Linked DNA regions of Xenopus tropicalis. The protein of the gene in region 2 purifies or fractionates together with the protein of the main gene of each other region. This does not show direct contact. Links are inferred from orthologs where the notes say so. Each region holds a gene or a part of one and is shown on either strand. Other genes may lie near its edges. The genes, in order: pias1, chuk and map3k7.

The links.
Region 1: the proteins of chuk (region 2) and pias1 purify together in Homo sapiens (affinity purification with western blotting; 3 studies listed by BioGRID). This does not show direct contact. The link is inferred for Xenopus tropicalis from reciprocal best matches to the Homo sapiens genes CHUK and PIAS1.
Region 3: the proteins of chuk (region 2) and map3k7 purify together in Homo sapiens (affinity purification with western blotting; 9 studies listed by BioGRID and IntAct, with this or other methods). This does not show direct contact. The link is inferred for Xenopus tropicalis from reciprocal best matches to the Homo sapiens genes CHUK and MAP3K7.

What each region holds. Positions count from the first base shown.
Region 1 is NC_030679.2:117,659,239-117,663,528, reverse strand, and holds the start of pias1 (E3 SUMO-protein ligase PIAS1), read right to left. Parts: upstream 2,831-4,290; 5' UTR 2,752-2,830; coding exon 2,728-2,751; intron 2,705-2,727; exon of another isoform or gene 2,587-2,704; intron 2,112-2,586; exon of another isoform or gene 1,971-2,111; intron 1-1,970. UniProt on the Homo sapiens protein: Functions as an E3-type small ubiquitin-like modifier (SUMO) ligase, stabilizing the interaction between UBE2I and the substrate, and as a SUMO-tethering factor. Catalyzes sumoylation of various proteins, such as CEBPB, MRE11, MTA1, PTK2 and PML.
Region 2 is NC_030683.2:110,589,886-110,593,937, forward strand, and holds the start of chuk (inhibitor of nuclear factor kappa-B kinase subunit alpha), read right to left. Parts: upstream 2,832-4,052; 5' UTR 2,793-2,831; intron 1-2,792.
Region 3 is NC_030681.2:84,978,609-84,982,806, forward strand, and holds the start of map3k7 (mitogen-activated protein kinase kinase kinase 7), read left to right. Parts: upstream 1-1,379; 5' UTR 1,380-1,607; coding exon 1,608-1,694; intron 1,695-4,198. UniProt on the Homo sapiens protein: Serine/threonine kinase which acts as an essential component of the MAP kinase signal transduction pathway. Plays an important role in the cascades of cellular responses evoked by changes in the environment.

The DNA.
Region 1 (4,290 bases), on a different chromosome or scaffold from region 2:
CATAATGGACTACCAACATATAATTACAATATGATGTTAGTGCCATGAGCATCTGATGAATAGTCACTATGCCCATGCTTCATTTCCTCATTGTAACTAATTCCTCAAGTATGCACAAGGCATTTCTTAATGTTTAGAACAACAATACCTAAGTCCTCCTGCATATATTCATCTACTTATGTCAGATTGTTTATAAGCACCAGTATATTAGTCATGTTATTGTTTCAGAGGCAGAACTGCAGTCAGAATCAGGCCCTACTTAGTACTTGCACATAATTACTTGTATGCGAGCTTTCCATGCACAGCTATAGAGGTTAATGAAAGTTATTAGCTTGGTCAGACCAAACATTGCAGCATACATCGTGTCCTCAAATGGTAGAATCATGCCAGTTAATGCCCACCAATTTAGCAGACAAGCAGGATAAGCAGCTTATCCACCCATGTATGGGGTCCCCACGACAGGGCCTACTCAACCGATATCTGGACAAAAATCAGGCAATATGTCAATCAGGTAGGTTTGATTTCCCCATAGGATTGAAGGCCACATCTGTGGGTTGACTGGGTCCTCTATTCGACTGCCTACATGGTGACAATTATGACCCAATTGTTGGGCCGAGGGCCAAGCTATCAGCCTGATATTGTCCACCTCAATGTCATCATGGCCATCTTAAATTGCAGAGAAAAGTATAAAAACTAGCCATGCATTCAAAAGGGGCAGCAAATACCATCATCTTATATTCCTACGCTACACAGGGCAAAATTTAAAAATGAAAAGCGTGTTCTAATTCCTGATACCTACATGCACAATCAAAACAAGTCAGCACACCACTGGAAAGCCTTCTGTGTAAACAAACCCCATTCTTTGCTCAGCTTTAGCCTGTCAGGCTTTCAGATACAGAGCAGAACATAGCCTGCCAAATTTGCCCACTGATTCATAGTATCAAAGCAGCCTGACAGGCCAGCAATTGGATTATACTGTGGGTCTGTGTGCTTCAATGCAGCTCACTCCTGTCTGGAGAGGGTATACACATTAATCACACAATTACTGACTGATTCATTAGGTAAAGAAGGCTCTGCCTGTTATATCTTACAATATCTCACAATCTAAAATGCATACATTACAATGTATAAATATATGAATTACACAATTAAAATTACAAAGTACACTGAATATATACAGGTGCAACAGGCTATTCTTAAGCACTTACTATAGTACAACAGTACTAATGCATAGCCTTGATATACCAAAGTCAATAAAATGACAACTCCTTGCCTCAGACTAGGGATGCACAGAATCCAGGATTTGGTTCCAGATTCGGCCAAGATTCCGGCTTTTTCTTCAAGATTGAGCCGAATCTGTGGGCCTGGCTAAAACAAATCCTTCAAATTATGTGACTTTTCACCATATAAAAGCTGAAGTTGAACATTTTTCACCACGTGCGGTTGTTTTTACACCTTCTGTGCCTTCATTTTCATAGGCAAGTTAGGATTCGGTTTAGTATTCTTTCATGAAATATTTGGGGGATCAGCCGAATCCCAATACAGTGGATTTTTGAGAGATGCAAGTTACGGTACAGCACATCTGTGTGTTTATCAGACAGCACACAGGCTCCCAGTTAAGAGAAGATGGTACAGCAGGAAGAAAGTTTGCTGCAAGCGGTGCCCAATGCATAGAGGGGAAACTTGGAGGAGAAAGCATTCTGTGAAGCCCCTCTATCAGCTCTACAAGGGATGCAAGCCCACCAGGTACTATCACTTCCTATCAATCAGCAGAGCAACATGATGTCTGGGGAGAGAGACAGGGCCATGCAGAGGAAGGGTGGGGGAGGGGAGGCGAGTGGGGGAGGGGAGTTAGCGGAAGGGTAGCAGGCACAGAGGATCCCTGAGCATGGTGACAGGAGATAGGGACATGTAAAATAAACGTAAAATAAACAGCAATTTTATAAGAAATAGAAGCACCTCACACGCACCCCAGATCTCTGTATGAATCAGCCGAAACAAGCAGCTCAACCCGGGACTCTGCAAAGTGAACATCAAGCCAAACGTTTTTAAGATCCCGAATAAACGCTGCTTATTTGTCAGCACAAGATAGGAATCCATCCCCGAGAAATGTTATTAAATGAGAACTGTTGCTTGGCAACCCTGACAGCCCCCCCCCCCCCGTCATTACGCCGGGCTTAGCGGGCAGGACTGTGTGCGATAAAGTATCCTGGAGCCGACAGATCCCCGAATGAAGCGGAATAAAGTCCACACGGCGCAGAAACTTCCTTTCATTAAAGTATCGCACATCCCCTGACAGCCGCTTGTCAGTAGTGATGGATTGGGGGGTCGGGCAGCAACAGGAGACGCGCAACATCGCTTATTAAAGAGACCAAGTACCAAGTAGGAGCATCTTCCTCTCACTCATCCCTTGGGAGAGCTCCCAGCAGCCCCTACCGTGCGCCCTGCCCGGGCTGCCGCCGCTCACATTCCCTCGCTCCGTGTGTGCATCAGGACCCTCGCCCTCCTACCAGCCTAACCAACATGCCCTCACCAGCCCCCTCCACCCGGGCAGCACCAACAATAACAAGGGCCCCTCTGCCTTACACATGCAACATAACTCCCTCTGCTTCCGGGAGCCGCTTCTGCGAGTTCCCCCGGCCATTCGCTTCAACACACCCGACCTCCCAATTGCCAATACATAGCGGAGACCGCAATCCCGGTCCCGCAATTCCAGCTGCGCTTTACCTTCAGTTCCGCACTGTCCGCCATCTTGCTGCTTTGCGCGCAGGCGTAATGAACCCGCCGCGACGTGGCTCGGACGCGACTCGTTGCGTCACTACGCAGGATTCGAAAAAAGGCGCCAATTGCATAAGCTGCGAGTTGTATAAGAGCGGTGCTGCATTCGGGTGGGGAAGAAGAGGGGATACGGTGCGGCTCACATTAGCCCCTCTTTTTGCGGGGAAAGTGTTGCGGTCCTATAGCTAGCCTAAGTGCTGTCGGTAACACAAAGGCTAGGTAGATTGGTGGAATAGACTATACTTATATTTATCATGCTGTGTAAAAAGTGGAGTGAATCATTACTGGTGATGTTGCTCATAGCAGCCATTGAGATGTTTTGCTTTGGTGTTCTTGAAACTTGAAATCTAATAGCTGATTGGTTGCCCTGGGCAACATCACAGGTAATGCATCACTCCACTTTTTGCATAACATGATTAATATACCCCATCCTGTGTTCCTGTATCAGGCCCAAGCATCGCGTTTAGGGAGTTTACACAATACGAGTCCTCCAAAGCAAAAGTGAGACATTTTTGTCTTATTTTAACTTGAAGGCTGACGTATTAAAAAATTTTGTCCATCATTGCTTACAGTTCTTTAACATAGGTGCCTCCTGGGAGAAGGTGTGTTGCTAGATTTTGCCTCAGTAGAAGCACCAAAAAAGCCACTCATTGCTCATTGTCACAATTGGTGACACACATTAATTGTGTCCAAGTGCCTCTATTACCTCTCTGGTAGTCCTTCCTCCCACTAATAGCTATTGTTGTTAGATATATACACTGTACAAGCTGGAGCCTGTGTGGCTTGTCGGCTTGCCCAGACACACCAATTGGCCTATGGCACAGGGGTTTATTCCTCACTGGTTAGATTGTGACCATTCTGCCCGTCACTCAGTTCATAGATATTGAATGGAACTGCTGGTTGCAGGCAGAGCTTGACCAGAAAATTGTTTCTAGACAAAATCTGTCTGTCTCTGCTATAGACAAGACAAATGGAAATGATCAAACACTTCTGCAACAGCAGACAATATGCCAGTGTGCCCCAAGCCTTGAAAGACAAGAAAGCCAAACTGACTGGGGGGTAAAAAAACTGGTCACCCACCAGTAACTCTAACCTAGGACCCCATGGCCAGTGTTCTTCTTCTCTAAAAAATGCACTGGACCTAGGTACTTTTTATTGTACCGCTACACTGCACATGCATTAAGGTGTGATCCACTACAGTCATTTGCATGTGTAGGCACAACACTACCCTCCTCAAGCCCTGTGTCTATTCCAGGTTCCTATATATCTTATTAAATTACACACAATGAATCAAAGCAGGCTGAACCTGTGGATGTTTGTTAGGTCAGTGCTATCCAACTTCCGTGGTACTGAGGGCTGGAATTTTTTTGGCCTACATGGTGGAGGGCCGATATTGGAAGCAAATTTTGACCACTCCCTTTTTTAAACCACACCCATGTTATCACAAGGGCTTTAAAGACCATATCTACATTAATGGTGGCAGCATACCAAAAGAAAACAAATGGTTGGTGT
Region 2 (4,052 bases):
AAGTAACATGTGCTAAAGGGGTTAAATAAGTTTGAGCTACTGCTATAAACCTATATATTTGCAGGCAGGGTGCATTGTATGCACCACTTTCCAGCCTGGCCCAAGATATGCCGATTTGAATAAGTAACAGGGGTGCTGAGGGTGTTTAATGCCTTTGGGCTGCTGATTTAAAACTATTTTCAGGCAGTGATTCCTCATATTGTATTCACCCTGTTCTGGCCTGGCCCGAAAGGATTCTGGAAAGGATAAGTGGCTCCAAAGTGGGCATCTTTGCAATTCTGGCTTTCTGAATAAGTAATGGGCTGGTTGAAAAGGTTAAATGACCTTGGGCCACAGGTAGATTGGCAGGCAGGGATCCCCCACATACTATGTATCTTGTTCTACCCTTGCCTGTAACAGTTCTGTGCAGGAAAAGTGGCATTAGTTTCTAATATGGTCCGATGAATAACTAATGATTTAAAGGGTTAAATGACTTTGGCCCACTGATTTCAATGTATATGCACAGACAGGGATGACCTGCATTATATTCATATCTTTTCAACCTGGAATGGTTTTGGGAATGAAAAGTGGCATTTAGGTGGGGAGTATGGATATTTTGCCTGTTTATACTAGTAACTTGTGTTTTAAAGGGGACCTGTCACCCAGTCATAAAAAGCTGTATAATAAAAGTTCTTTCAAAATTAAACATGAAACCCAACCCTTTTTTTAAAATAAATCATTCATACCCGTTATAAATATATTTAAAAATCTGAGCTGTCAATCATATATTGCCTGCCCCGCCTCTATGCCGCAGTTTGAGCCAGGCTGAAATAAGATGTATGCTATGCAGGGCATCCCTGCCTGTCAATCTATACTTTGATAATTGTGTCCCAGATATCAAAGTATAGATTGACAGGCAGGGATGCCCTGCATAGCATACAGCCTGGCTCAAATCATTTAACCTCTTGGACACCACTGTTACTATATTTACACATATATAAAAGGCTTAATTGCTAGGATGCCCATTATGGTGCCTCATTTCATGCCAACAACCATTTTGGAGCAGGCTAGAATGCACTGCATACTATACATTCCAGAATGCTCAGGACCTGGGGTTTTCCGGATAAGGGGTCATTCCTTAATATGGATCTCCTACCTTAAGTCTACTAAAAAAAATTATTTAAACAGTAATTAAACCCAATAGGATTGTTTTGCCCCCAATAAGGATTAATTATATCTTAGTTGGGATCAAGTACAGCTACTGTTTTATTATTACAGAGAAAAGGGAATCATTTAACCATTAAATAAACCCAATAGGGCTGTTCTGCCCCCAATAAGGGGTAATTATATCTTAGTTGGGATCAAGTACAGGTACTGTTTTATTATTACAGAGAAAAGGGAATCATTTAACCATTAAATAAACCCAATAGGGCTGTTCTGCCCCCAATAAGGGGTAATTATATCTTAGTTGGGATCAAGTACAGGTACTGTTTTATTATTACAGAGAAAAGGGAATCATTTAACCATTAAATAAACCCAATAGGGCTGTTCTGCCCCCAATAAGGGGTAATTATATCTTAGTTGGGATCAAGTACAGGTACTGTTATTACTACAGAGAAAAAGGAATACAATGGAGTCTATGGGAGATGGCCTTTCCGTAATTCGGAACTTTCTGGGTAATGGGTTTCCAGATAAGGGGTCTGATACCTGTACTCTGAACTCAGTTACCCAAATCCATTTAACCCCTTTAAAAGTCAACCAAAAAAAATGAAATTTTGCTAACTTTTCAATATAAATTTATTTAATAATTGTAGTGCTTTAAAGGAGAACTAAAGCCTAAAAATGAATGTTTTTAGGGTTTGCATTTGCTTAACTCCTGTTTAAAAACCTTCCTAGACTCAATGTTGCACAGTCAGCTGGCTTGTGTTATATTGCATCAAAACAATGTAACACTATTAATGTAACACATTGTTTTAACAGCAATAATATATACAAATTTGTATGAATGTATATTGTGAAGTTGCTTAGAATTATGTCTTCGCTTATTAGGCAAAGAATCAGGGTCGGAATGGGATTCCCAGGAAAAAACCCGGTGGGCTCCAGCGGCCCAGACCCAATCCCTGTTACCCAGGGGCCCTGCAGGTGCCCCAGCCGTGTCCCCTAACCCCCCCCCAGGGGCCCCCCTAACCCCCCCCGCAGGGCCCCCGCCTGATGTCCTCCGAGAGCGCATATAAATTGAACGCGTCGGGGAGGAACAGTCAGTAGGGGGAGCGCTGGCAAAGGTCGGACTGGGCCGCTGGGGCCCTCTAGGGCCGGGGCCCACCGGGATTTTTCCCGGTGTCCCGGCGGCCCAGTCTGACCCTGCCTGTTACCGCTCCCCCGGCCGCCGGTGTCCTCCCCTGACGCATTTCACTTACACACATTCAGGGGAGGATGTCAGGCAGGTGGCGGGGCCCCTGCGTGGGGTTAGGGGGGGCGCAGCTGGAAGAGCACCTTGGGGGTGTGGGGCCCCTGGGGTGGTAGCCCCGGTGGGCCCTAAACCCCCCCATAGAATTCTTTTTTTGAATTGACGTCCTTTAAACCACTAGTCACCTATTCAATAAGGCAGAATTGCATGATGGCGAGTTTTGTCATGTTTACAGTTCTGAAGGAACTCGTTCCATTTATACGTGACACACAGACGTCTGGATGAGCCAGAGACTAAGGGCAGGGGGGTATAACAAGTTCTGTTCCGCCACTTGTGCTCCCTCTAAAACAAAATCACACACAGCCCATAGTGTAAATTCACCCCCACATGCATTTACACAACTTACTTGGAGTAGGGAAGTGTCCTGTGTTGTTGTTTTACTCTTCCTCAGTCCCTCTTTGATTCACTATTTTGCTTCACTTCCGCCCATGTGACTTTCCTCCAGGTGCCTGCTGGGTCCTAATGCTCACCTCTAGCCTCGCCACTCACAGCTCTCCTGGCTTCCTCACAGGAGTCCTTTGTACCTTTAGCACCCTCTAATGGTATTTATATGTAAAGGATCCAAATATCACATTAGATTGTCTAAATAAAAGGAATAAATTAGATTATAATTATTAACTTATATGTATAAAGCGCCAACATATTCCGCAGCGCTGTACAATACATTGGGCATACAGACTTACATACAAAGCAACCAATAACCGATACAAGAGGTGAAGAGGGCCCTGCCCAAAAGAGCTTCCAATTTAAAAGAAGAAAGGGTTGTGGGAATGGGCAACATCAAGTTGTGGGAATGGGCAAGATCAAGGTGTGGGAATGGGCAACATCAAGTTGTGGGAATGGGCAAGATCAAGGTGTGGGAATGGGCAAGATCAAGGTGTGGGAATGGGAAAGATCAAGGTGTGGGAATGGTCAAGATCAAGGTGTGGGAATGGGCAAGATCAAGGTGTGGGAATTGGAAAGATCAAAGTGTGGGAATGGGCAAGATCAAGGTGTGGGAATGGACAAGATCAAGGTGTGGGAATGGGCAAGATCAAGGTGTGGGAATGGGCAAGATCAAAGTGTGGGAATGGGCAAGATCAAAGTGTGGGAATGGGCAAGATCAAGGTGTGGGAATGGGAAAGATCAAGGTGTGGGAATGGGCAAGATCAAAGTGTGGGAATGGGCAAGATCAAGGTGTGGGAATGGGCAAGATCAAGGTGTGGGAATGGGAAAGATCAAGGTGTGGGAATGGTCAAGATCAAGGTGTGGGAATGGGCAAGATCAAAGTATGGGAATGGGCAAGATCAAGGTGTGGGAATGGGCAATATCAAGGTGTGGGAATGGGCAAGATCAAGGTGTGGGAATGGGCAAGATCAAGGTGTGGGAATGGGCAAGATCAAGGTGTGGGAATGGACAAGATCAAGGTGTGGGAATGGGCAAGATCAAGGTGTGGGAATGGGCAAGATCAGAAGTCAGCAAGATGAGAGATGTAGCATAGGGTATTCAGTAGCACTCAGTAAGTTCTGCTATACTAAATGAGGGGAAGCTTCTCTAAATAAATATGAGATGGGAATGAGAGATAAGGTTAGTAGAGAAGTGTAACCACCAGTTTGGTTGGTATCTA
Region 3 (4,198 bases), on a different chromosome or scaffold from region 2:
GAGCAGCCATATTGTGTGTTAGACTTGAAAGAATAAAAGTCTGCTGGGCTGCCAGGAAGGAATCAGTCCTCTGTGGTATCTCTAGTGTGTGTCCCCTGCTGTGAACAGGTATTGTTCGTTTGCCTGCTACGTGGGAGCAGCCACCTTTATAAAGGGAAGGTACTCTGGGGCAGGTAGCGCTACCTGGGGGGACTAAAGAGCTCTTGGGGAAGGGACTGAACTAACCTAAGGGTTGTGGTTTATCCGGATCCAAGTGGGGATTGGGCATCTATAGAGACTGTCGGTGCCAGCTGTGGATAAACTACATGGGTTCCTCAGAGCAGGAAAATCAGTTGTACATAAAGTGTTAACTTCCAACTCCAACAGTTATATAAAGTTTAACATTTCTGCCAAACCTGTGTGTGATTATTTCCTAGTGGAAATCCCCTAGAGGTGTGTTCCTCAGTGTCCACTAGGTGGAGGCACTGCGCTGTTCCCAGTTCCCAGTATCAATATTCTTTGAGAACACACATCTCCTGAAAATACAGCCATATATAAGTGAATGTGCCAAGAAAGGGTTACACATACATACCTGTTCTCACCAGGGGACACACACGGAGATTCCACAGAGGACTTTGTAATCCCTGGCAGCCCTGCAGACTCTTCTTTTTTCAGTCTCAACTCACAACATGTGGTACGGGCTGCTCACTCTATATCTCTCCTCCAAAAACTGGCAAAACACCTTTATCAACTGCTGCCCCCCCCTTGATTTTTGGCTCCAAACTGGGGCATCCAGCCAGCACTTGCCTGAGGCTGGAGATCTCCCTATAAAGTTAAAGGGAAAACCCAGCTTCTGCACAATTGTGTCAGATTTGTGACAAAATGTGCATACAGTTGTGGGAATTTTGTCACATCAAATGTAGTTGTGTAGGCGCAATAGTGATTGCAATTCAGTGGAAAAGGCTGCATTGTGGGGAAAAAATGCACTCAGAATTCCACTTTGTTTACTGCACTTGCCTATAAGAGTATATTTCTATACTTTCACTATTGGTTATAAATTAAGAGCAGGCACTGAGAAATGATTTCTGGAAGTTTTAAAAACCTAACAACACTTCCAGAGACAATTTATTTCGGAGGGCAGATAGTACCGTCATATAAGACAGCAAAACGTAAACAAAACAGCAGAGCAAAAAAAAAAAAGACTATATTGTAGAAAGAATTTTCATTTTGTCATGTCAATAAAGTTGTATAAAAAAACTATCTTTCCGAACACGCCTCACTTTGCTTCTGTGCAAGACGACATCACGAAGCCCCGCCCTGCTTTCGCCGCCGCTCTGCATTAGGCCTGCGCTTCTTCGCCTCTACCTGTATGGTCGGATCGGAAGTTGGCCAGCGCATCAGCGGCTACAGTAGTAGCAAGAGAGCCCTCCCCTCTTCCACCACAGGCCCTGGCTCCAAGCAGGCTAGGCCCAGCAGCCCAGAAGGGGGTTACCTGGTCCTTGATGGGCCGGGGCCGCCCGTCACGTACAAGTATTACGGTGGCTCCTGTTAAACCCGCTCTGTTTTCCCCAGCTGTGTACCCCGGCTTCCGCCGGTGGGGTCCCCGATTTCTCTTGTAAGGGCACGGCATGTCTGCCGCCTCTGCTGACATGATTGAGACTCCACCGGTGCTAAACTTTGAGGAGATCGACTACAAGGAGATAGAGGTGGAAGAGGTGAGCCTGCGGGGTGACACGGGCAAATGGGCTAAAGGCAGATCTCCAACCTGCAGCTTTTCATTAACATATAACTTCTAGCAGTTGCTGCCAGTAGTTGCACTTTACTGACCGCAGGTTGGACTTTCCCCGCTTATTGTTTGTAAATATTTAGTCCTATTCATTCTTTGCCAGAGAAAGTTCTATGGAGACAAATCTAGTAGTAAAGACACCCTTAAAGGGGAAGTTCACTTGTAAAGCAGCTATTAGGTTTTTCCTGGCTGGCCTATTCTCGGCAACTATTCAATTGATTATTTCTAATTTATATGTTTTATGGTTTTTTTTAATGATTCCCCCTCCTATCATTGCCATTTTACATGTTGCAATTTGAAAATGTCAGTTTTTTGGGGGACACTGTCCCTCCCCCAATTATATAGCTGATACTTGTCTTTGGCTTGTCTTTGTTTAGAGTTTCTTTCCTTTTCATCTTTCTGACTTTCCAACCACTGCCTGGTTCAAGGTAAACATTCTAAGTTGGATAGCTGCAGAGCAAAATGTGAAATAATTAAAAAAAAACAAAAAAACAAAAGAAATAACTAAAGAACAGTAGCAAACTGTCATAACATTCAGGTGAATTGCTTCTTGAAAGACTGCGTTTGTCCCAGACAACATATCTGTACATTTGCCGCTGATATGAGGCATCAGAGGTGACAGGTAGCCCATCCATTTTTTGTATGATTTATTTCATATATTTCCCAATGGCTTGCACATTCCATGCATCTCCATAGTGGTACAAACTTTGCTTGGAAACCTCTTTTTCTATTGGTTTCATCTGTAATATTAATGCGATAGCAAAACAGATTAATTCATAGTTTGTCAAAGAATTTTGTTTTTAAATTATCAGAAAACACAATGAAAAGACACTTGTGAAGCACCAGTTTTATGTAGTTGTTTTTATTCTTACCGCTGATGCATGTGTTTGAAGTATGACCATATTTATAGCCAAAAATATTGGGTAGGCATGTTTTCTGGTTGTAGTCACATGGGTGTCGTGCCGTACTCATGGTGATTCCTGTTGAATGTAAAGGGGAAGTGATGTTCCTCTAAATTATGTTAATTTACCCCAAATCTTGTCACATTAGTCTTATTGACGTTTTGCTTTTGTGTATATGCCATTTTCAAGCAAAGGCCAATTGGATATTCTTACGGTGGCCATGCACGAGTAGATTTTAGCTGCAGATTCGGGTCCTTTAGAATGATTCAGCAGCTTATCTGCCCATGTATGGGCACGCCTGCCAGGCCTACCTGACTACATCGTCAGATCCGCCACACACCCATCAGAGCTGAAACAGCAGATAAGGAGGAAGAAACAATAGGATTTCTACCTCCTTCTGCCGATTCAGCCCTGACGGCAGATTTTGGTCAGGCGCCTTCTATGGCGCCCGATCAAATTTTTTTAACCGGTCCGATCGGCGAGTCGACCGATATTAGCAGTTTCCTGCGATATTGGTCGACTCGCCGACATGCCATACACGCACTGAATATAGTACGAAAAGAGGTTTCGTACGATAGTATCGGTGCGTGTATGGCCAGCTTTAGATCTGCCCTAAAATTAACCAGATCTTGGTCAGATAGGTTTGATTTTATGACTTATAAGGGACTGCATCATTTGGTCCAAACTTGCCCACCTAACGAGAAGATCCACTCGTTTGGCGAACTCTCCAAACAAGCAGATCTTAAAGTGTGTGGCTGCCTCAACTCAACATTGTGAAAGTTCATCAATCTGGAATCGGTGAAGGATTGTTGTCTGATCCAAATTCCCTTGTACAGGAACATGCAGTATATTTTCCTGTAGAACCATGGGACTTGATAGCATAGGTTAGGTTTAATGAAACCATCAGGGTGAAGACAGACAGAGAAACTAGTCGCTGCGATTTTAAAAATCCAGTCTAGGTGACTTATTGGCCGCCACAAAAGTCTTGGATTTCTTACTGTTGCATGCTATTATGATATCTACTGGGAGCTGATATCTTGCTCCCTTCCCATTGTTCTGCTGATTGACTGCTGTGGGAGATTAATATCGCTCCAACTTGCAGTGCAGCAGTAAAGTGTGATTGAAGTTTTTCAGAGCACAGGTGACATGGCTGTGGCACCCTGGGAAATGAAGGATATGGCTAGCCCCATGTGAAATTTCAAAATTAAATATAAAAATCTGTGTATTTGAAAAATGGATTTTAATGCAGGATTCTGCTTCTCTCTGGAGAAGCTCCATTAACTCATGTGTTTTGGAAAAAAAAACATGGTTTTCCATGACAGTATCCCTTTTAAGGTGCATTTTGCTGGCAGTGCCTCTTCTCATTCTATGTACTGTTAGGGCAAAGACACACGGAGCTGCTTAGTAGCAGCTACTTGCGACGGCTAGAAAACTCCAGAAAATACCCTGCCACAGACAAAACTTGAGAATTGCCTCTACACATGTAGAGACAATTACCAGTAAATGATCAGCATTGTCAATTTTTGTAGCC